3 linked regions of the Caenorhabditis elegans genome follow. The protein of the gene in region 2 purifies or fractionates together with the protein of the main gene of each other region. This does not show direct contact. Each region holds a gene or a part of one and is shown on either strand. Other genes may lie near its edges.

Evidence for each region. The genes of interacting proteins can lie anywhere in the genome.
Region 1: the proteins of snu-66 (region 2) and lex-1 fractionate together in Caenorhabditis elegans (co-fractionation; one large-scale study listed by BioGRID). This does not show direct contact.
Region 3: the proteins of snu-66 (region 2) and prp-8 fractionate together in Caenorhabditis elegans (co-fractionation; one large-scale study listed by BioGRID). This does not show direct contact.

Annotation. Positions count from the first base shown.
Region 1 is NC_003282.8:12,077,685-12,085,665, forward strand, and holds lex-1 (Tat-binding homolog 7), read left to right. Parts: upstream 1-1,788; 5' UTR 1,789-1,790; coding exon 1,791-1,916; intron 1,917-1,962; coding exon 1,963-2,096; intron 2,097-2,143; coding exon 2,144-2,361; intron 2,362-2,403; coding exon 2,404-4,474; intron 4,475-4,530; coding exon 4,531-4,616; intron 4,617-4,674; coding exon 4,675-4,821; intron 4,822-4,867; coding exon 4,868-5,822; intron 5,823-6,193; coding exon 6,194-6,332; 3' UTR 6,333-6,678; downstream 6,679-7,981. Other genes in the region: tmed-1 (GOLD domain-containing protein), read right to left, coding at 1-265, 315-476; repo-1 (Splicing factor 3A subunit 2), read left to right, coding at 6,794-7,350, 7,433-7,544; rbm-34 (RRM domain-containing protein), read left to right, coding at 7,739-7,981. UniProt on the Caenorhabditis elegans protein: Thought to form a complex that enhances transcription from repetitive DNA sequences by modulating chromatin structure.
Region 2 is NC_003283.11:7,570,539-7,577,963, reverse strand, and holds snu-66 (SNU66/SART1 family protein), read left to right. Parts: upstream 1-2,293; 5' UTR 2,294-2,339; coding exon 2,340-2,446; intron 2,447-2,506; coding exon 2,507-2,545; intron 2,546-2,595; coding exon 2,596-3,256; intron 3,257-3,302; coding exon 3,303-3,412; intron 3,413-3,462; coding exon 3,463-3,751; intron 3,752-4,107; coding exon 4,108-4,791; intron 4,792-5,063; coding exon 5,064-5,287; intron 5,288-5,342; coding exon 5,343-5,516; intron 5,517-5,563; coding exon 5,564-5,642; intron 5,643-5,690; coding exon 5,691-5,791; intron 5,792-5,844; coding exon 5,845-5,866; 3' UTR 5,867-6,014; downstream 6,015-7,425. Other genes in the region: ets-6 (Lin-15A/B-like domain-containing protein), read left to right, coding at 1-403; ints-9 (Beta-Casp domain-containing protein), read right to left, coding at 473-566, 611-835, 883-1,227, 1,280-1,394, 1,453-1,539, 1,591-1,730, 1,779-1,887, 1,938-2,062 and 1 more; F19F10.14 (DUF2769 domain-containing protein), read left to right, coding at 6,909-7,022, 7,078-7,176, 7,226-7,324.
Region 3 is NC_003281.10:8,162,559-8,168,175, reverse strand, and holds the start of prp-8 (Pre-mRNA-splicing factor 8 homolog), read right to left. Parts: upstream 3,804-5,617; 5' UTR 3,800-3,803; coding exon 2,970-3,799; intron 2,916-2,969; coding exon 2,678-2,915; intron 2,637-2,677; exon of another isoform or gene 2,504-2,636; intron 2,478-2,503; coding exon 2,258-2,477; intron 2,186-2,257; coding exon 1,441-2,185; intron 1,393-1,440; coding exon 1-1,392. Other genes in the region: bath-42 (BTB and MATH domain-containing protein 42), read left to right, coding at 4,850-4,910, 4,965-5,233, 5,284-5,617. UniProt on the Caenorhabditis elegans protein: Functions as a scaffold that mediates the ordered assembly of spliceosomal proteins and snRNAs. Required for the assembly of the U4/U6-U5 tri-snRNP complex.

The DNA.
Region 1 (7,981 bases), on a different chromosome or scaffold from region 2:
TTTTTGCAGAAAGATCAGAATCAGTACGTGCCATTGCAGATAAATCGGCTTCGTCGAGGTTGCCATGTGCATCAAACAAAAATATCTCGAAAAATACAACTTTTCGAGATTGATAACTGAATGAATTATCGAAGCAGACTTGATAATCTCCTGGTTGATTCAGTTCAATTCGATGGGATCCGTCGACTTTCAGCTGGTCCTGCTTCAGAATGTTCGCCCCGTGAAGTATCATGAAATTGATATTTAAGTCACCACCGTCGATTACCTGAAATCAAGATTTAAAATGCAGCAAATGGTTTAGAATTATAAAATACCTGATAATCAACTTCGAGGGTTTTGTGTTTTGCAAGATCCACAGGTTGAAAAAAGCACTGGAATTTTCCGGCAGGAACTTCGACTGTAAAATCGTACTCTCCACATAGAATAAATGGAGTGATGAGAAGAATTACAGTGATTATATTGGTGAATTCACCCATTGCTGAAATTAATTGATTTTAAGAGAAAGCCAACAAATTGACGATGCATTTTTGTAGTAAAGCTATTGAAAACGAGGCAATAACATATTTTCAAGACAATAATTTCAGAATTACAGCTTCGGAAAATTGTTTAATGCAATTATTTAATTCATTTATATCTTTAATTTTATAATAAATAAGATAAAAACAAAAAATTAACGAAAAACTCGCATAGTTTACGTGTAAATCTTCAGAGTTTGTCTGTGTCCAATAGAGCGCGATTACACCTATTTTTTTTCAAATCAGAATTTTTCTTTCACTGGCGTGATGGAAAGATAAATTACGATTAAAAACGTTCAATAGGTATAAATTTAATTTTTAGTATGTTTTGAAGTTATTTTCATAAGCTTTTAACGCAGAAAACACGACACCAAATAATTTCTGGGCCTGCTTTACAGGAACATTTTCAAAAATAACTCTTGGGTCTTGAAATGCTTACAGTAGTCTTCAGATTTCTTTTTTCCAGTTTTCATTTGTTTTGCGCATGCGTTTTTTGCGATAAATTGTTTAATTTCCTTCACAAATACATTATTTTTACATCCTTATACGTAGAAAACGACGGTATTTCAATTTAGGTAAAAATTTTCAGAGTTTACTGTGTGAAACATCTGAAAATTGATGCCACATGAAATCCTGAGTATCTTCTGTTCACAATTTATTGGTTTTAAACTTAAATATTGGTTTTGATCAGATTTTTTTCTAATTATTTCGAAATTCGGTTAGCCAACGATAGTGAGTAAATATTGTCAATTTCCACAATTTTCCTTTCGTCCATTTTTCTTCAAATTGATTTGATTATTGATTATTTTTCTTATAATTTTCTTGAATTTAAATTCCCCAGTCTATAGAAATTAATTTTAAACTAGTTCTCATTTTGTGTTTCCATAGAGCGCATTTACACTCTTCTCATGCACTTTTCCCCGCCTCGTGCCTGCCTCTCCCATCGCTCGCTCTCTCCAGCCATTCTCATTTCCACATTTACTTTTCACCCAACGATTTCATTTTCGAAAATGTTTTCTGTATAAAATGCATCCGATTTTTACAGTTTAGCTTTCGTTTTTCGTAATGGAAATATAGTAGTTTCGGTTTCATCGATTACTGCTTCATTCTGTACTCTCCCATAATTTTAAAACAAAAGCCGAATTCTTAGATTAAAACATCTACTTATTCCTCCACTATTATCTTTTCTCATCTCGATAAATTAAAATAAGAATTTTTACGTATCATTTTCACTTGTTACATTATCGATTTTTCGAAAATTTCAGCTTTTCAGAGATGCCTCGCTCAGACGGATTTTCTCCGCGCAAAAATTTGCGGAGATCTGCTCGAGATCACTCGCGTTCGTATGCGGGTCAGTGCAACGAGGATTTTGATGACATGTACGCACCATCAAGCAGAAGAGTGAGTTAATTCAAAACATATACATTTTTAAATTGACTATTTACAGAGAAGCAGCGGTGGTGTAGATGGAAATGGGTACACACGTTCCGGACGGAAAATTAATCACAATCGTTATTACGAAGAGGAATATCATGAGGCAATTAGCAGCGAGGAAGATGAAAGACGATATCGAACTCGAAGGTTTTTTGATAATTTTGACAAAAAATATTATAATTGTTAAAATTTAGAAGCTCGAATTCGATGACATACAGACAACAAGTAATGCAGGCGATAGATGAATCCAAGCGAAATCAAAAAGTGCCGCCTGCAAAACGAAAGCGGATATATTTGTCTGACGAGGAAGAGGAAGATTTTGCTGAAGCGGCGCACGTTGAGAACACAGTCCCCGAGCGTGCAACTCGACGTAGCACCAGAAGACGTTCATCAATGCACGAAGAACTTGGAGGTACACGAATCGCATAATTTCAAAAATATAAGCGAATTTCAGTTTCAGAACAGGAAGAGTCGCCGGTTCGCAGGACTCGCAAAGCCGCCAAGCGCCTTGGAAGTGAGCAACCAGAGGAAAATCTAGCAGCAGATGATCCGTTGCCAATGGAAGGAGGTGGCGAGATTGTGCTACCAATTGCTGAAATTGATGGAATGGCTGAACAAGAAAATGAGGACTTGATTGAGAAAATTGGAAGGGAAGAAGAGGAGGAAGGCGCTGAAGAAGATGAGCAAAGCGGTGAAAAAGATCCAGAAGAAGAAGAGGATGATAGCAGCAATGCAGAAAGTTCAGAGGAATCAACTGCTCCACGTCAATACAGTCTTCGCCGCCGTCAACCAGTTGTCCAGTTCAATGCATCAGAAGCTCGTGAAAATCGACGGGCTCGTCTTGAACATCATCGGGTTGCAAATCAAAACAGACATCACCGCAATCGAAATGGATCTCGTCGAAGACGAAGCGATTCGGATTCTGATAGTGATGATATGGTGCTTCCGAGACCTGATAAACGTCAATCGAGGCCTCATATGCATAACCGTGGAGAACGTGAACGTGGTCGATTTATGCCGATCAATATGACCGAAAAAGAATTGCAGTCTGCCCAACACATTCTGATGGATCGAATGAGAAAAACTGATGCTGGTCAAGGTGCAAGTGACATTGATCCAATGAGTGTTGATTCGTCGGTTGGTTTCGATCAAGTTGGAGGACTCGGTCATCATATTCAATCTCTCAAAGAAGTTGTCCTTTTCCCAATGCTTTATCCTGAAGTATTTGAAAAGTTCAGAATAAATCCGCCAAAAGGTGTCGTATTCTATGGGCCCCCAGGAACCGGAAAAACTCTTGTTGCACGTGCTCTTGCGAATGAATGCCGAAGAGGAGCCAACAAAGTTGCATTCTTTATGCGAAAAGGAGCTGATTGTTTGAGTAAATGGGTCGGAGAGTCTGAAAGACAACTTCGACTATTGTTTGATCAAGCATATGCCATGCGTCCATCAATTATCTTTTTTGATGAAATCGATGGTTTAGCTCCAGTTCGTTCTTCGAAACAAGATCAAATTCATGCGAGCATAGTGAGTACATTGTTAGCACTGATGGACGGATTAGATGGTCGAGGAGAAGTTGTTGTAATTGGAGCTACAAATCGATTAGATACTCTTGATCCAGCTCTACGAAGACCAGGACGTTTTGATAGGGAACTCCGTTTTTCCCTTCCTGATTTGAATGCCCGACGACAAATTTTAGATATTCACACTTCCAAATGGGAGGAAAACAAACCGATTCCGGAAACACTCGATGCTATTGCAGAGAGAACTAGTGGATATTGCGGTGCCGATTTGAAATTCTTGTGCACAGAAGCAGTTCTTATTGGATTGAGATCTCGATATCCTCATATCTACATGTGTTCTGAAAGGCTGAAACTCGACGTTGCCACCATTAAAATCACTTCTGAGCATTTTGGACATGCAATGCGGAGGATCACACCTGCTTCCAGACGAGATCTTACAATTCCATCGAGACCATTGGATGAACGAACTTCAATTTTACTTGGAGATACTGTGAGCAACTTGATTTCGTTGAGAATTCCACAAGGATATCGATGCGTGGAAAATGCAATGGCGACAGCTTCAAGCGAACTGGAACAAGTTGTTAGGGCATTGGAACCTAATCCAACCGTGCCTGCTATTCGTCTTCTTCTATGTGGATCTGAGCAACTCGCGGACGGTGGACAAACGTCTTACGTTCTTCCCGCCATTCTAGCAAAACTGGATCATCTACCGGTGTTCTCTCTTTCTGTTTCAAGTCTTTTAACAGATGGACGTCCAGAAGAAGCATTTTCAAATGCAATTCAGTCGGCAATGCGTGCATCAGCAACCGGCCCATGTATCATGCTTCTTCCATCAATCGATGAATGGATTAAAGTCATTCCTGTATCAGTTCAACATATGCTTATCACATGTCTGGAATCAATGACTGGTTTCACGCCGATTCTTTTCCTATCGACGCTTGACACTTCGTTTGAAGATGCGCCTGAATATGTCACGGAAATTTTCAGACATGCAAACTGTATCACGTGAGTATAACTAGAAATGTGTTTTCAGAACATTTTTAAAATATAATAATTTTCAGTTTGAATCCTTCCCGCCGAACAATTCGTCAAAAATATTTCGAGCACGTTATTGAGAAGATTAACACTCCACCAAAAGTATTTGATCGTAAGTCTCAACGAAATACAATTTTTTAAAAATTTTAAATCCTTTGTCCATATTTCAGCAACAGTCTATGAGATGCCTCTACCAGATGACGATTCTCCCGATTCGAAGCCTTCTAGAAAGCTCAATGATGACGAGACAAGAGAACTTTTGAAGATGTACACTGCTTTGCAGCGACAAATGAGATTATTCTTCAAAGAGAGGCTCAGTGAGTTTTAATATTCCGCATGCTCAACCTCATTGAATATTTTCAGCACGTCTTATGCGAGATCGTCGATTCGTTGAATTTGTCGAGCCCGTGGATCCGGATGAGGCTGAGGACTATTATGAGATTATCGAAACACCGATTTGTATGCAGGATATTATGGAAAAGCTGAATAATTGCGAATATAATCATGCGGACAAATTTGTTGCTGACTTGATATTGATTCAAACGAATGCTCTCGAATATAATCCGTCGACAACAAAAGACGGAAAACTGATTCGTCAAATGGCAAATACACTTCGAGATGCAATTGATGATCTGATCGAGTGTGAACTTGACGAATCGTTTGTCGAACGAATTGAAACAGTTTCACGAATGCTACAAGACGCTGGAGTAACTCCAACCTCTGATAAATTACTCACAGAAATTCCCAAAGGTTTTGCCCGAAAAAAGGCGTGGTCTATGACCAATTCACTTGCAAAAGAAATTGAGCAATGGACATCAGAGCGTGAAGCTGAAAATCAAAAAATGTTGAGCAAGCTTGGTGTAGCTGCTCCAACATTGGAACTCGTTGTTGTCCCTGTAGAAGATATGAAAAGTGAAGAAGGAACGAGCACATCAACTGATGGAGTTCCAGCTTCTGCTGGAAATAAAAAGAAATTGCTCAAAAAGAAGAAGGGTCAAAAGAAAAGCAAAACCGGCGAATCTGAAGAGCACGATGAAGATAGTACAGTTGAAGACGCAGGAGAAGATACAATTGTAGAAAATCTTGAAATCAAGAAAAATCAGGAAACTCCAAACAGTGAACATGATATCGAGATGAAAGATGCTTCTAAAGATTCTACACCTTCCGTGCAAATTTCGATTGCTGAGAAAGAATTGATAGTTTCGAAGCCAGCAACATGCGAGCTGATTCAGTGTTGTGTCGAAAAGTCGGAGGGTTGGTCAGTCAGCGAGTTGGAACGTTTGTCTTCTGTTCTATCACATACAATTGAACGATTCCGGTGAGTTATATGATTTTTTATTACCTCGCTGTTCTTTTTGTTTGAACTAAAAGGAAATGTTAAGGATTTTTGGAACGTTTTAAAACATAGAAAACATTTATTATGAAGGTTGTTTATATTTTTGAAAATTTCAAAAATTGATAATTTCGTTATTTTGAAAAAAAATTGAAATTTTCAATAATTTCCGGTTAATTGAAAAAATTTCAATTCAATTGAAAAAATGCTCGTAATTTTCTGTACATTTCTTCGGCTTTTCCGTGATTTTCCTATTTTGATATTTTCGATATTCTCTGAAAAATCCCGAAAAAATTGTAGTCACAATGTAGAATAAAATAAACAATATTTATTTTTAACAATTAAATATTATTCAGGGACGAATGGAACCGCGAAAATCTACCAGCCCAACTTACCCAAATTGTACGTGAATGGCAAACAGCTGACGATTCGAACAATACAATTGTTAATGGAACCCTCAACAAATCGAATGGAAATCTTGCCAATGGACACTAAATGATGTCCCATCCTCCTCTTCCAATCTACCTCCGTTTATCGATTTTATAATTTCAAACTGAAATCCGTTTTATCATAATTTCCACCAGTTTTCCTCTTGTCAAAAACCCCTTTGTGCGAAAGAAAACTTTCAAAATAAGTGCGGCTACCGTGATACTCACCTATTTTTCTTTGTCCATTTTTATTCAAATTAAATCTCTACCATAATTAATTCCCCTCCAATTTATTCGAGTGAGCATTGCCTGCCTCTCGGGTGTATTCACGTGCCCTTCTATTATTTCATTAATCTTTTCCATTATCTTTAACCTGGTCTTTCGAAAATGAGTAAATTGTGAATCATTCGATGTTTAATGCTAATACCTATTTTTGTTTTAATGATCCGTTTAACTTCGGATATTTATATATTTTCGATTTTATTTTAAATTTATAATATATTCAATCATCTAAACTTTTTCTTTCAGATGGACTTTCAGAACAGAGCTGGAGGAAAAACGGGAAGCGGAGGAGTGGCTTCGGCCGCCGATGCTGGTGTTGATCGACGGGAACGGCTCCGCCAGTTGGCTCTAGAGACAATTGATCTTCAAAAGGATCCGTATTTCATGCGAAATCACATTGGAACGTACGAATGCAAGCTGTGTCTTACTCTTCACAACAATGAAGGATCTTATTTGGCACATACACAAGGAAAGAAGCATCAAGCGAATCTTGCACGGCGTGCCGCTAAAGAACAATCTGAACAACCATTTCTACCAGCTCCACAGAAAGCTGCAGTTGAAACTAAAAAGTTTGTGAAAATCGGACGTCCTGGATACAAGGTAACAAAAGAACGTGATCCAGGAGCTGGCCAGCAAGCACTTCTCTTCCAAATTGATTATCCGGAGATTGCTGACGGTATTGCGCCACGTCATCGATTTATGTCTGCTTATGAGCAAAAGATTCAGCCTCCAGACAAGAGATGGCAATACCTCTTGTTTGCTGCTGAGCCGTATGAAACGATTGGATTCAAAATTCCATCAAGGTGAGGCTTTACAACATTTTAGCACTTTTCTATCTCATAGTTACGATTAAAAAAATTGTATATACCAAGTAATTTTTTCCAGAGAAGTTGACAAATCTGAAAAATTTTGGACGATGTGGAACAAAGACACGAAGCAATTCTTCTTACAAGTCGCATTCAAATTGGAACGACTCGATGATCAGCCGTACTATTGATACTCTATGTTTTTATCTTTTTGATTTCAAAATTCAAAACAATTTTTTCGTGTTTTTCGATGATCTAACAATAAATTATTTTCCTTTTTTTTAATGATGATATTTTATTTAAATCAAGTATAGGTTGACTGATCCGTCTACAATGTCTATTCAATTAAAATTATAGTTTTCATAGTTTAAAAAATCAGTTTCAGATGGCGAAGAAGGTTGTCAAAAGAAAAGCTGAAGCAGTGTCCGCTGACGCAGAAGCCGTTGCAGAAGCTCCGAAGAAAATCAAGAAGCAGAAACCAAGTCTTCCAGTCTCTGAACCTGATAATTATCAGGCTGGTGGATTATCAAGTCTCTTCGGAAAGTCGTCAGAAGGAGCAGCAGTACAAGAGGAAGTTGTGAAGGGAGATAAAGTAATTGAAAAACCTAAAAGAAGAAAGTATGATCCA
Region 2 (7,425 bases):
ACATCTTACGGATGCATGTGATGAGATCTTCTCGATCTTCAGAGTTAGACAACCCGAAGACATTCTAGACGTAAAGGAGATCGATACGAGAGTGCTGGGAACTGCGATCACCATTGCAGGCGACAAGAGATTGCACTTTTGCCAATTCCAAGAATATTGCCGCAAGTTTACCATCAAAAATTGCCAAAAATCTTGCTCAATTTGTCAAAAAATCGATTATCGCAAAGACATGGCCAACATCCAGAAACACGCGGGGAGATTGGCAAATTGCATGAAATCTGGGACTTTGGAGGCACCGGCCACGTGGAAATATATGGAGTTGAACGGATCTAATCTGATAGTAGCTCTAGAAGCAGACACTGAAGGTTACATTTGTTTTGATCATTTTCCGACATTGAAATAATCGCGAATTGCAATAAATCGTTTAATTTATAATAATAAATCACAGAAACATGATTCTTCGTATTGTTACCTGTAACAATCACTGCATTCTTCGGATCTGATCCAAGAACTTCGACCATGTGGGCAGCATCTCCGATGCGAAGTGATGCGTGGCTGGCGAAGATCTGAAATTTTACTTTTTAGTAGATTAATTTCAATTTTTACTCACCACACAAGGAGTTTTGAATTCTTTAGAGAATGATCCGTATAGCGAATCGTAGATCTTTACTCGTCCGCTTTTGATAAGATTACTGTGACTGTACGGCTCTTCTGGCAGATATACAGCATTTTGACGGGATTCTGACATCCACTCGGCACTGATACTGGCCATTGCTATTGCGCTTTTAGCGACCGGGGAAATGAAGTAGATAGGGGTATCCAGGGGAATTCCATTCTGAAATCAATTTTTAAATTGTGAAAACCACCGGATTTCCTAATTACCGTAGTAGTGATGATGTCAGAAACCGCTTCAATCATTTCGAAAATGGGACCAACTGGACAAATTGGAAGCAGAACCGATCCATGTTTCTTCAGAACATCCGTGATAGTTTTGATAAGAGAATATCCCATTTCTTTTGCAGTTGTATCCACTAGTCTGCTCAATGAAGTGACAAGAATGTGATCAACGGCTCTAAGCGGCGCCGTCTCCATGAGCTTCACGTCTGTTGCAGAAGGATTCGAAGCACTGAGATATGCAAATTGCTCATTTTCTGTCTTGATTGTCCAGTAAGCTGAGCCATAAGTGTGTCCGGAAACTACAGGAGTCACTTTAATACGGAAGAGATCCTGGAAGTTGCAATTTTCTTAAATATATTCAAACTTCTTATTAACAACTTACAATTGTTTGATTAAAACTTAATGTGATTACTTTGGCAAGGCAACTGTGCATATCAGTTGTCGTGTAGTAGGGGCGCCACTCGACGGGATTTTGAAATGGAGGATTTGGAAATTTTCTGAAAAACGGAAAAAGGTTGAAAATTATGAAACATAATTTTTATTTTATAAACTGACCCACAAAACTCTTCTCTTTTCCATTTTTTATCACTTGGCAATACTTCAATTCGAGAAATGAACTCGAGCATTTCCTCCATCAAAAGTCTGTAAATTTTTATCTAGCAGTTGTAATATCCAATTTCTTATATCACTCACTTTCCGTACTGATACGCAATCTCCGTAACATAAATTTTCCCAGAAAATCCGGAACCCTCTGTGTAGAACGGCAAACCGACGAATGATTCATAGTTGGACACCAAAATTGCGTCGATTGTATCCATTTTTAGCATATCCGTCTGAAATGCGTCTAGTATTAAATTTAATTAATCTCCATGTTTACAAACCGATACGTGGAAAATTTCAGGTGGCGATTCGACGTAGACACGGTTTCCGAGCTCTTTCAGATACGGTATCTGAAACTTCTTGGCGATCGGAGCATTTTTGATTCGCGGGCTGAAATTTTTTGCTTTGAAAAGAAACGACGTCACTTTTCCTTGATTTACCTTTGATATACATGTGGGAGGAAGCTGAAAAATGGTGTGAAATCAATCGGAGTGTCCATAAGAATTCTGGCATTTGGCCATTCTAGCAGAAAACATGGTTTTTGTGCGTACACCGAGAAGTTTGTCTGAAATTAGTTATTTATTCCATCTGTCAAGTAGTTTTTTAATCAAAAACCTACGATATTCATTATTTTAGTCTTGTTTCAGCGCCCTTCCATTAATTTTTAGATAAATACAAAAAATAAGTTCGAATTAAATTGGATTCTGCGCTAAGTGCGGGTGCTGACGCATTACGCGATACTGTTTGCGTTATTTTCGAGATTTATTTTCGAAAGTGTCCCATTCAAGTTTCAGTCAGTTTCAGCCAAGTTTTCATTGATTTTTCTCATTTTAATCTTGAAAATGTCTTCCAAATACTCAAAAAAACGAAAACAGTTCGATGATGACACTTCTGAAGTTGGAAAAAATCGAGATTCATCAAGATCTCCATCTCCTCCACGATCGAAAAGGTAAGTGTTTTTGTTACTTTTTCTTTTTATTAATTCTGTAATTCACAGGTGAAATTGCAGATCTGCGAAACAGCGAGAGCCTGAGGATAATGGAGAACCGTAAGTATAACACGGAGAGCATTTCATTCAATAAAATAATTATTTTTCAGGGCGGATTCGATGTCAATCGAAGAAACAAACAAACTGCGCGCCTCGCTTGGTTTGGCTCCTCTTGAAACTAACGACAATAAGGAACGTGATGCTAATGATGGAACCAATGAGAAAATCTATAATGAGGATGGATTTGAGTTCAGACATCGAAAAGCTGAGAATATTTCTGATAAGAAAAAAGAAAAAGATATCAAAGAGAAGCTAGAAATCGCCAAAGCGAAACGAGATGTTTATTCAAAAGTCCTGAAAGCGAAGAAACTCGCAGATTCTGATGAAGAAGACAGTGCAGCCAGTTTTGTGAACAAAATGCGTCAGAAAGAAGATGAAGCCAAAAAGGCCGCCGATAGAGCTGCAGCTTTTGATCAACTTGACGAAGAGCTTGGTGTCAGTGCAATCGTCGATAAAGTGAAAAAGCCGAAGAAACCAAAAACCAAAGGGCCATCTGATACAGCTGGAATGGTTATTGGTCATGGGAGAGAGGCTTTTATTGAAGGTGATCAAATTTTGGTGCTTCAAGATAAGGGAGTTCTTGATGATGGAGACGAAGTTCTCGTGAATCCAAATCTGCTAGACAATGAACGTCACGTCAGAAATGTTGAATTGAGGAAACGGAAGGATCCTAATCGGAATTTTGATGAAGATGTCGACGAGTTTGGAAATGTAGGGATTTTATTTTAAAAGTTTAACTGATTCGTTATTTTTTCAGGCAAAAAACTTTGGTGTTCTTGCAAAGTACGATGAGACGTTGGAAGGAGAGCAAAAGAAACAGTTCCGACTTGACGAGCACGGTGGTGTCGATTTAGAAGAAGAAAGACGGTAGTTATTCAAAATATTTGAATGTAATATCTGATTCTTGCATTTTTCAGTGAAATGGAAGCGTTCCGTCGAATGAAAATGGCAGGAAAACGTTTGGAAAGTTTGGAGACTAAAAAATACGAGCTTGCCAGTGAATTCTACACCCAGGACGAGATGACACAATTCCGAAAAGTAAAGAAAGGCAAAAAGGAGAAGAATATTCGTAAAAGAAAGGTTCTGAAAGCCTCTGACTTGGTGCCCGTTGAAAAAGCTGGAGAAGGAAGAGATTTTGGAAGGAGAAGAAGGGATTCTGATGAACCAGAGGACGAAGGACTGAAGAAAGAGAAACAAGATGGAAAGGTAAGCGATTTTGACGAAAATTCTTTTTTCGTGTTGTTTTTCTATTTTTATGAAACAGAAAAGTTTATAAATGTTCGAAAATATGCTTTTATTTCAAAAGTATTAAAAAACAGGTTTCTTGTAGAGTTCCGCGAACGGTTAAGTTTGTTCTTTTTTTTCAATTCCTTGGAAAATTTTTTTAAAAAACATTTATGACCATTTTTTCATTTTTCAAAAGTGAAAAAAAACCAAAAAATAACTTGCGTCGAAATTGAAATCTCAATGATTTTTTTTGTGTTTTTCTTTTGTGGTATTTCGATATTTGGGACCAATCTGACTATTTTAATAAATAGGAAAATGATAAAATAGCGTTTCAGGATGAAGACGGCGAAATCAGTGACAAAGAAGTGCCAGAATCTTCATCTGACAATGGAAAATGGAAGAAGGCAATGCGAGGAAATGGAGTAGACCTTCAACGTCTTCAGAAGCTTCGTTCAAAGCATCAAATCGCTGAAGATGATGACAGTGATAACGATCTGATGTTCAGTGGAGGCGTTGATTTGACTGGAGTCGTAATTGACGACAACGCCGAAGAAGAGTTGAGCTCAATTCTGGCGAAGACTAGAAAAGTGAAGCAAATCGATGGGAAGCAGATGGATAACGATGTTGGAAAGAAAGTTCAAGATATTCTAACGAGTCATGGAGTCAAAATGGAGATTGATGAGGAGGAAGACGTTAAGCCGTTGAAAGAAGGTCAAATCTATATTGATTCTACGACAGAGTACTGTCGTCATGTTGGTGAGATCACAACTCTCGGTCTTGGAGGAAATCGTACTGTTGATGTATCGGAAGTCAAGAAAGTGAAGGAAGAAGAGATGGAACAAGAAGGAAGTGAAGGATTCGAGAAATGGAAGCGTGCTAAAGTTGATAAAGAATTGAAGGAAAAAGAGAAGAGAAAGTTGAGAGATCAAGGAGGATGGTTGGCTGCTGGAGAACCAGCTCCATCCAATGCAAGAATTGATAGTGATGATGAGGATGCATTGGAAGAGGCTAAGAAGAGGGTTGGTTTTAAAATACTCCGAATATTCGAATAGGCTAAAAATCACAAACCATCATGAAAAATCATGAAAAAAACGCTAAACATTTAAAATTCCAACTTTTAAAAACGCGGCTTCATATTGGACGAAATTAACGAGAGTTGATAATTTGCGTTTTCAAAAGTTTTTGTTTTTGGTATTTCTGCACATAGTATTTTGAAACTAAATCCGGATTTAGATTAATCCCTATTTTCCAAACTCCATATTTAATATTGCAATTAAAAATAATTTTCCAGAAGTGGTCGGAAGATGAAGAAGAGGATGAAGATATGGAAGAAGATAAGGATGATTATGCTCCAGCTCTCGGCCAGGAAGTTGATGTATCGAAGGGTGTCGGTCGAATGCTCAAACTGGCTGGACAAAAAGGATATCTTCAAAATCCGAATGCAAAATCTCATTCAGGACCTTCTCTGGATCATTTGAAAAACAAAACTACACAGCGAATCGATGGACAAAGATTGTTAGTTTTTATTTGTGAATTTAAAATTCGAAATTTTAAAATCAACTTTTTCCAGTGACCCCGATGATCGTAACGCCAAAAAAGCTGATCGTCTGAACTCTCAACACCGTGGACCAGTTATGCCATTCGCGGAGAAGCACGACTACAAGCCTGATGTTAACATAAGTTATGTAGACAGAAAAGGCCGTGAAATGGATGCCAAAGATGCGTACAGAGAGCTATCATACAAGTGAGTGTGTCTAGTGAATTTTGAAATTTACAACTTTTTTTTTTCAGGTTCCATGGTCGCAATCCGGGTAAGAAACAGTTGGAGAAACGAGCTAATCGTAAGGACAAAGAGGAGAGAATGCTCAAGGTAAAGAATATATTAAATTTGGCCTCTAGAACATTAACATTTTTACAGACAAACAGTTACGACACTCCACTGGGAACTCTTGATAAGCAGCGCAAAAAGCAAAAACAATTATCCACACCGTATCTTGTGCTCAGTGGATCTAGTGATCAGTGAGTTTTAAATTATTCTGATATTTAACAAATAATGAAAAATATTATTTCAGTTCGAGTCTCAAGAAGGAGTAACAAATGGACATTGTTTTGAATTTCCTGTATTCAATTTTATAATTCTATTGCTGTTATGCAAACAGTCATTTCATTTTCATTGAAGTTTCAGATAATTAAATTATTGTAATTTTCATTCTTTTTTCGCGAATATATCTACATTTTCTTCATTTGACTTTCTGATTTCTCCGAATTTCCTCTTTTGGAAGTACTCCAAAAATCGTACAAGAAGTTACAATAGTATTAGGGGGACACACAATTCTGAAAATTCGTATTGCGCAACATAAATATCTCGTAGCGAAAACTACAGAAACTCTTAAAAGAAAAGACTACTACAGCGCTTTTGTCGATTTACGGAAATTATGTATTTAACACAAAACAGTACGAAAAAACTCAAGAAAATTTAATACCACTGTCACAATTCGCACAGAAAGTCGATCCCGTAAATCGACACCAGCGCTACAGTAGTTTCATTTAATTTAAGAGTTACTGTAGTTTTCGCTACGAGATATTTTGTGCGTCAACTGTGTTGTGCAATAGTCATTTTCACAACTTAATGTTCCCGTAATAAATAACCAAAGCCCAATAACAAAAGTTCAAGAAACGTTTACATCCATCAATCAAACTTTATTGGGCAGGAGGTGTAGGTAGCATAATAATAATTATTTAGCTTTTGAATATATTTTTTATATTTTCAAAACGATGTTGAAATCTAAAACCGTCGCATTTTTTCTTCGAGCATTCATTTATTTCAGCGTAAGTTTCATTGCAATATGTTTGAACTATTTTGAGTTGCATATATAAGTAGGTACAAAATGTATTGCATGATGCCTACAAGCGTTCTTACTTCAAAAATACGGGGTTGTGAGTTGGGAGCATGTTGCTCATAAGGCAAACGCATAGGCAGATAGGCATAATGCGAACCAAACACCTGAGTTTGCGCCTATATCATGAAAACAAAATGTAGGCGTCTTTAGGCAGGCACCTAGGTATGCAGACATTTTGTCTTAGCAGTTTCAAATTCCAGAATTCTCAAATTCATATAGTTGTCTTCAATGGTGTAATGGATGTACATCGGGGAATACTACTCCAGAAACGAAATTGCACAGAGACGAAACCAAAAAATGTCGATTTCTTGAATTGTGTCATAAATTGTGGCCTTGACATTCATTGTCAGGTATCTTCACAGAGACCTACATACTCCTCAATAAATCGTATGATTTTAATCCCAGATTTGTTTCGAAACTAACTATGGGTCATGTGCTCATTGTGCTTCAGACGCAGTCGTTTTTGTGGAGCCCAAAGTTGGGGGATTTGCAATTGGAATGAAAGCAAGTAGAATTTATTTCGATTGATTTGAAATAATCAGTTTAATTCTAGGTACCGTTAACTCGTAACATCACGGAGTCATGTCCAGCCGGAAAGACAATTGTGGAGATTACAACATCCGGCAATTTGACTAAAACTTTGGAGTTATAACTTTTAATTTTGAGCATGTAAAAATAAAAATAATTTTGCTTTCACAGATTATTGAAAAAATGACGTCACAATCATTGATATTGTTTTTTTTTTTTGAAGAT
Region 3 (5,617 bases), on a different chromosome or scaffold from region 2:
CCCAAATTGACATCATGTTTCATCAATCTCATTCTAGCGTCTCTTGGCCAACACTTTTTGTTGTTATAACCGACAATATTCTCATTATTCGGATCTGGATGCTCTGTCAAGTATCTTTGAATCAAATCACGTGCTTCATCAGCACTGAAACGGAACATGATCCAAACTCGGTCGATGTACCGGCAGTAGAGACGAATAGGGTGACCAATTTCTGTGGCAACATCCTGGAATTGCAAGAACTCGTTTGGACATTGGGGCGGACCGGCAATTTCGGAAGCTCGTCGAAGTCCAAGAACAAGAAGATCAAGAACTAATCCATAGAATTGAACAATAAACGAAGCAAATTGTAGACCACGAATAATTCCGAAAGAATTGGTGTGGTTCATATCCTTATAGTTGATGAGAACGTTGTTCTTCGAAGTCATGTAATCGGCAATATTGTGATCCACAATCAATCTGAGCAATCTATTGAGAAGTGTCAAATCCATTTTTTCAGCAATTTTCTCCAATTTTGTTTCCATGATGACATTACACTCTCCTTCACTTGTCTCCCAAACATCTTGAAGATTGTTGAGACCTTGACACCATTTGTATGTAAGAAGCGGTGGTGGTTCAGTATCTCCTGGTTTCACCCATGCCGGGAACAATCTTCTCTTGTCTGCTTCATACCAGAGGTATTGATCGAGGTAAGCGTCAGTGACTTTCTCAAGAGGCTCGATATCGTAGACTGGAATAAGATGAGTGTAGAGATCCATAAACTCAATTCCGACTTCTTTGAATGCACGCTGCGTGAGCATGTGTCTCTTGATACGAGACAAAGCTTCGTGAGGATTATCATAAGCCTGTTCAATTAAAGCCAGTTCTTCTCTTTGGGATTGATTCAATCTATTCTTCACACTGTAACTTTCCTTCAGTCTTTCAAGAGCCAAAATAAGAAGTTTTGTGTCGTGTTTGTAAGAAAGTGGTGGGAAAGGAATCGGAGAAAATCTTCTTGATTCCAGCCAATGTACTGTAGTCGTGTAAATTGCAACAGCTTCTTCTGCAGAGATATATGGTCCGTCCTTCAAGTAATTGTGTTGTCTTTCTTGCTCTGATTTCAGGTATAATCTTGTCAATCTACCCAAGTTCTTCTTGCACACAGTTTTGTCTACTGTCGCTCCTCGTCTTACACGTTCTCTGTTGTAATGTGCCGAATTAGTCCACCAATCAGCCTTTGCTTTCACATAACGTAGAATCATATTTTCAACTGGAGTTGGCAGTCCGGGAACCTTCCATGGAATATTAGCCTTCCAACATCTCCACGCCTCTGACAAATGCTGAAGAATAACACGAGCCTTATTTTGTTTGATTCCGTCCGGCATCATATCCAGAATGTCATGCATGACAGCAGCACTGAAAATATTAATAAATAAATTCGTTTTCTTGCCATTTAAAGCTTACCGTAATTCAAGATCGAAATGAGATTCAACTCTTTGCTTGGTGACTGTCTTGGCCACTCCCTTTGAATGTCTTCCTTCGAATTGTCGAGACAACAGATTTCCAAGCCATCTCTCGAGCAGTGGTGTGATTCCACGCAAGAAGAACAACCAAACTCTCCATCCCGGAGCCCAAAAACCACATCCAGGTCCTTTACCAACCGGCCCAGTGTTGAAACGATAGTAGATGAGATGCTTGAGATCCTTGCACATTCTGACTTGTCTCATGAGCTTGTACTTGTAACGATACATTCCGGTCAGTTGACCGACGTGAGCAAAGATATATTGTAGACCATCTGCAAGTTGGTACGCATCGACGTTGTTCAAACGATACTGAACATGGGCATCAACAACAAGTTTTGTGAGACGAAGGATTTCTCTGCACAAATGGAATGCATTTCCGAAACGAGATTTCTTTCTTTCCTTTGTTGTCAATGTTTTAACTGGTTTCAAATTGAAGTTGTAATCAAGATGAAGATAGTTGAGATTCTTTCGGTGAATGAGCAAATTGAGCATGTTGTATCCTTGACGAAGAACTTGCAATCCAGCTTCTACCCAATCCAGGGTGGTTGTTTGGAAGAATTTTGTTGCCTTGAAGGAACGGAACAGATAACGACGCTTCTGGGGCTTCGGTGGACGATGTTTGAGAGCGTTCAGAACAAACACCTTGAGCAGTTTCTGATAAGAAACACGAACTTTCACGGGCATTCCTGAAAAATTGAATATATTATTTCAGCTTAGTATGCGAGAAACGAAACGAAAAAAATAGAAACAAAACTAACCTGCTGGACAATGTTCTCTATACCACGATTTGACAAGTGGTACATCCACTGCTCTTCTCGTTCTTCCCGATCGAAGATTGAATGGCCGAGGGGCCCATAGAAGTGCTAAACCATTAGCCGTGTTATCGGTGTAGAGTGGAACGTCTTCAAAAATGGGTCGAACATCTTCAGGCAGCTCCCACTCGTCTTCCTCTTCACCTTCTGGTAGATTTTCTTCAGTCTGAAAATGTTTTGACATACAATACGAATTGTCTCCAGTTTTATTTCTAGATATCACCGACAAAAAGGATGATTTCTCGCCTTTAATGGAAAATTTATATTGCGAATTTCGGCTACTGACTACCTTGTAAATTTATAGGAATCTGTTTATAATATCCGCATTTTATTTTAAAACATTGCTGAAACTTGTAAATAACTCACTGCTTTCAAGTTGCTGAGAACGATTGGATTGATCAATGGATCATAGTAGAATGCGGGAAGATCTGGGTCTTCAGTTTTGATAAATACAACTGAAGGAGTATGATACCATGAAACTTGAACAGGCAGCGAGCTGATCAGATTGTTGTACATGAATGGGAATGCAATTCTGTACTCGGTACGAATTGGAGCTCGAATAATAACTTTATTGATATCATTGAACTCGTTCCAGTCTTCATCACTGAAAATAATAAAATAGTATGCGTCATAACACAACTGGAAGCTTTTCACTTACGTATGTAAATCTTTTACCAATGGTTCGAACTTCGGGCCTCCTGGAATTGCAACGTTGAGTGCTTTAGCAGTGAAGAAACTTTTCATGTCAAACAAGTAGAAGTAGTTATCATCTACTAAATCGGTAAGCAGCTGATTTGCAAGACGATACAATGTGGACATCTGTGGAATACTGAATGCCCATTTTCTGTACGTTGGGCCGTTCACAAATCGAGTTGTTGCAAGAGGCTTGTGATCGTAGAACCATTCAGCAACAGCTCCGTCTTCTTCTGGATCTAGTTCCATTTGAATTGGCTCTAAAGGCTCGACATCCAGAATATTATCAGCATAATCGAGAGGCGGTTCTTCATCGTCAAATGGAGGGAATCTCATTCGCTTGAAATGACGACGATCACGTTTTTCTCTTCTCATCATAATCCACATCGTTCCCCATTGTGCCATGTAGACCGGCTCGATGACACGCGGAATGTCGTTGACAAAAGTGATCGCACCGGTGATGTGATACAGAACTTTTACATCTCTGATTTGTTCCCAGGGCATCGGCATGTTCTCCAGTAGCTTCAAAACGGCATGTGGCATATATTTCAAAGCACCGAGGTAGACTCTTTTATCATGACGATATTTGCGAGAAGTCATATCACCATGATCTCTGATAACTTTTCGGACGTGCTCAGGTGGCATTTCTTCTTTCTGCGTATCGGACATTCCAAACTTCTTTTTCTCCGAATACCGCTTTCCTTGAAGTTGTTTCCATTTTCGAGACTTTTCTTCCAGAATTGAATCCGGGATAGCATGTGGTTCAGTTTGGGGATGACCGCCGTAGTTGGCCATACCTATAACACACTATATAAAAATAGAATTAAAACTAATCAATGAGTTGACGAGCAAGGAAAAATAAGTATTACTGTAGAGAAACTGGAAAGAGAGATTTGTCTTTGTTTAGACTGTAAGATCACATGAATTGATAGTTGGAATTGTGCATTACAGTTAATAGCGCACAAAATTTACATTAAAAAACGGAATTTATTCAGACTGAACCAGAAAATCATGAATAAAAACCGATAATTTCTATTTTCGAAAGTAAAATTTAAATTTCCTTAAATCTAAACAACGCGCGCAATTGTGTCGAGTGGAGCGTCGTACTTAGATCTGCAGGTGTTTGAGGTTACGGTGCCCGGTAATTCAAACACTCTTCGGCGTAATGTTTCGATCAATAGACCCGCCTCTTCTTGGCAGCCATTATTTGCGTTCGCGTTCGCCGCCGCCGAGGAAAGACATCTGCCCGAAAAAATTTATTGATTTTTCGAAAACTTATTGGCATTTTCTATTGCCCTCAGAATCTGAGTAAAGCTTCTGAATTGCAACTTTTCCTTTTTCAAGTCATGTGACTGGGGTAATATCATTTTTTCGAAACTGTTCCGAATTTTGTACAAATATCAATTTTTCGAAAAGGAAATTATTTCCAAACTGTCATTGTTACCCATTTTATATTGAAATGTACCACATTTATTCCTCATAGACGAGTTCATGAAGATCTCCTTTTGAAAACTTTAAAAACTGTCCAACTTAAAAAAAAGGTAGTATTTTCGAATATCAAACGGCGATTTCGTAATTTTAATACTTTTCTAATATGTGTAATTTTTCGTAGATCGGTTTCGAAAATCGTATTGCTTATTTCGTAACTCTAACAAAGAACTCCTGCTTTTCGTAAATAATTCATTCGCGGAGTTTCCCAGTTGTTGTGTCTTTTTGAATTTAATCATTTTCTTTTATTTTTATCGAGATTATCGGGAATAGCTTTCTTTTAATTGAATTTATTTTCAGAATAACCTCTTGCTCGCTCAACTTATCAACAGAGGTAAAACTTATTCGCAATATAATATGTCTTCACGTTCCTCGTGGTCATCCACGGAGCAGATTAATCGCACAATCAGTTCCAGAGGTTAGTGAGAATAGCTCAATTAATTTGAGAGTTTAACATTATTTTCATTTTCAGCTGACGATCTTCCTCCACAACCTCGCCGTCTAGAAGTAGTTTCGAAGCAAGCAACGCGTGTGACGGCACTTTCTACAAAATTGGAATGGAAAATCGAACAATTTGAGAAATTGATGAAACTAATCAAAAACGGTTCGAATCTTATTTCAAGAATGTTTAGTGTCCCTGATGCGCCAACAGTTTGCTGGGAACTTCATGTGTATCCAAATGGAAAGCGTGATGAAGATGTGAATAATGTATCGTTTTTCTTGAGACAAGTTGGATTAGCCGTAAGTTTCATTCATATTTTCTATATATAAAATATAAAAACCTTTTTCAGAGAGGAGAGGAGCCCATCATGACAGAATTTCAAATTTATGCTCTCGATGCTAATAATCAAAGAGTCAGTGTATGCAGAGATACCAAAGATTTCACAAACCAACAAGGGCGTGGAAAGTTCCAAGTTTCGCGTGATAAGATGCTTGGGGCACTTCGATCTGACGGAACTCTCTTTTTGATTTGTGAAGTTGAATACTTCCCTCCTGGATCAAAAATATCAGTTGAGCCAGTTGTGGACGAAGATGTTAGCACAGAGGAGCAAGAAGAAATGCCTGAAGTAATTGTACGCGCAAATAATCGAAGTATGTGGGAAGATGAGCTATTCACCGATTGTG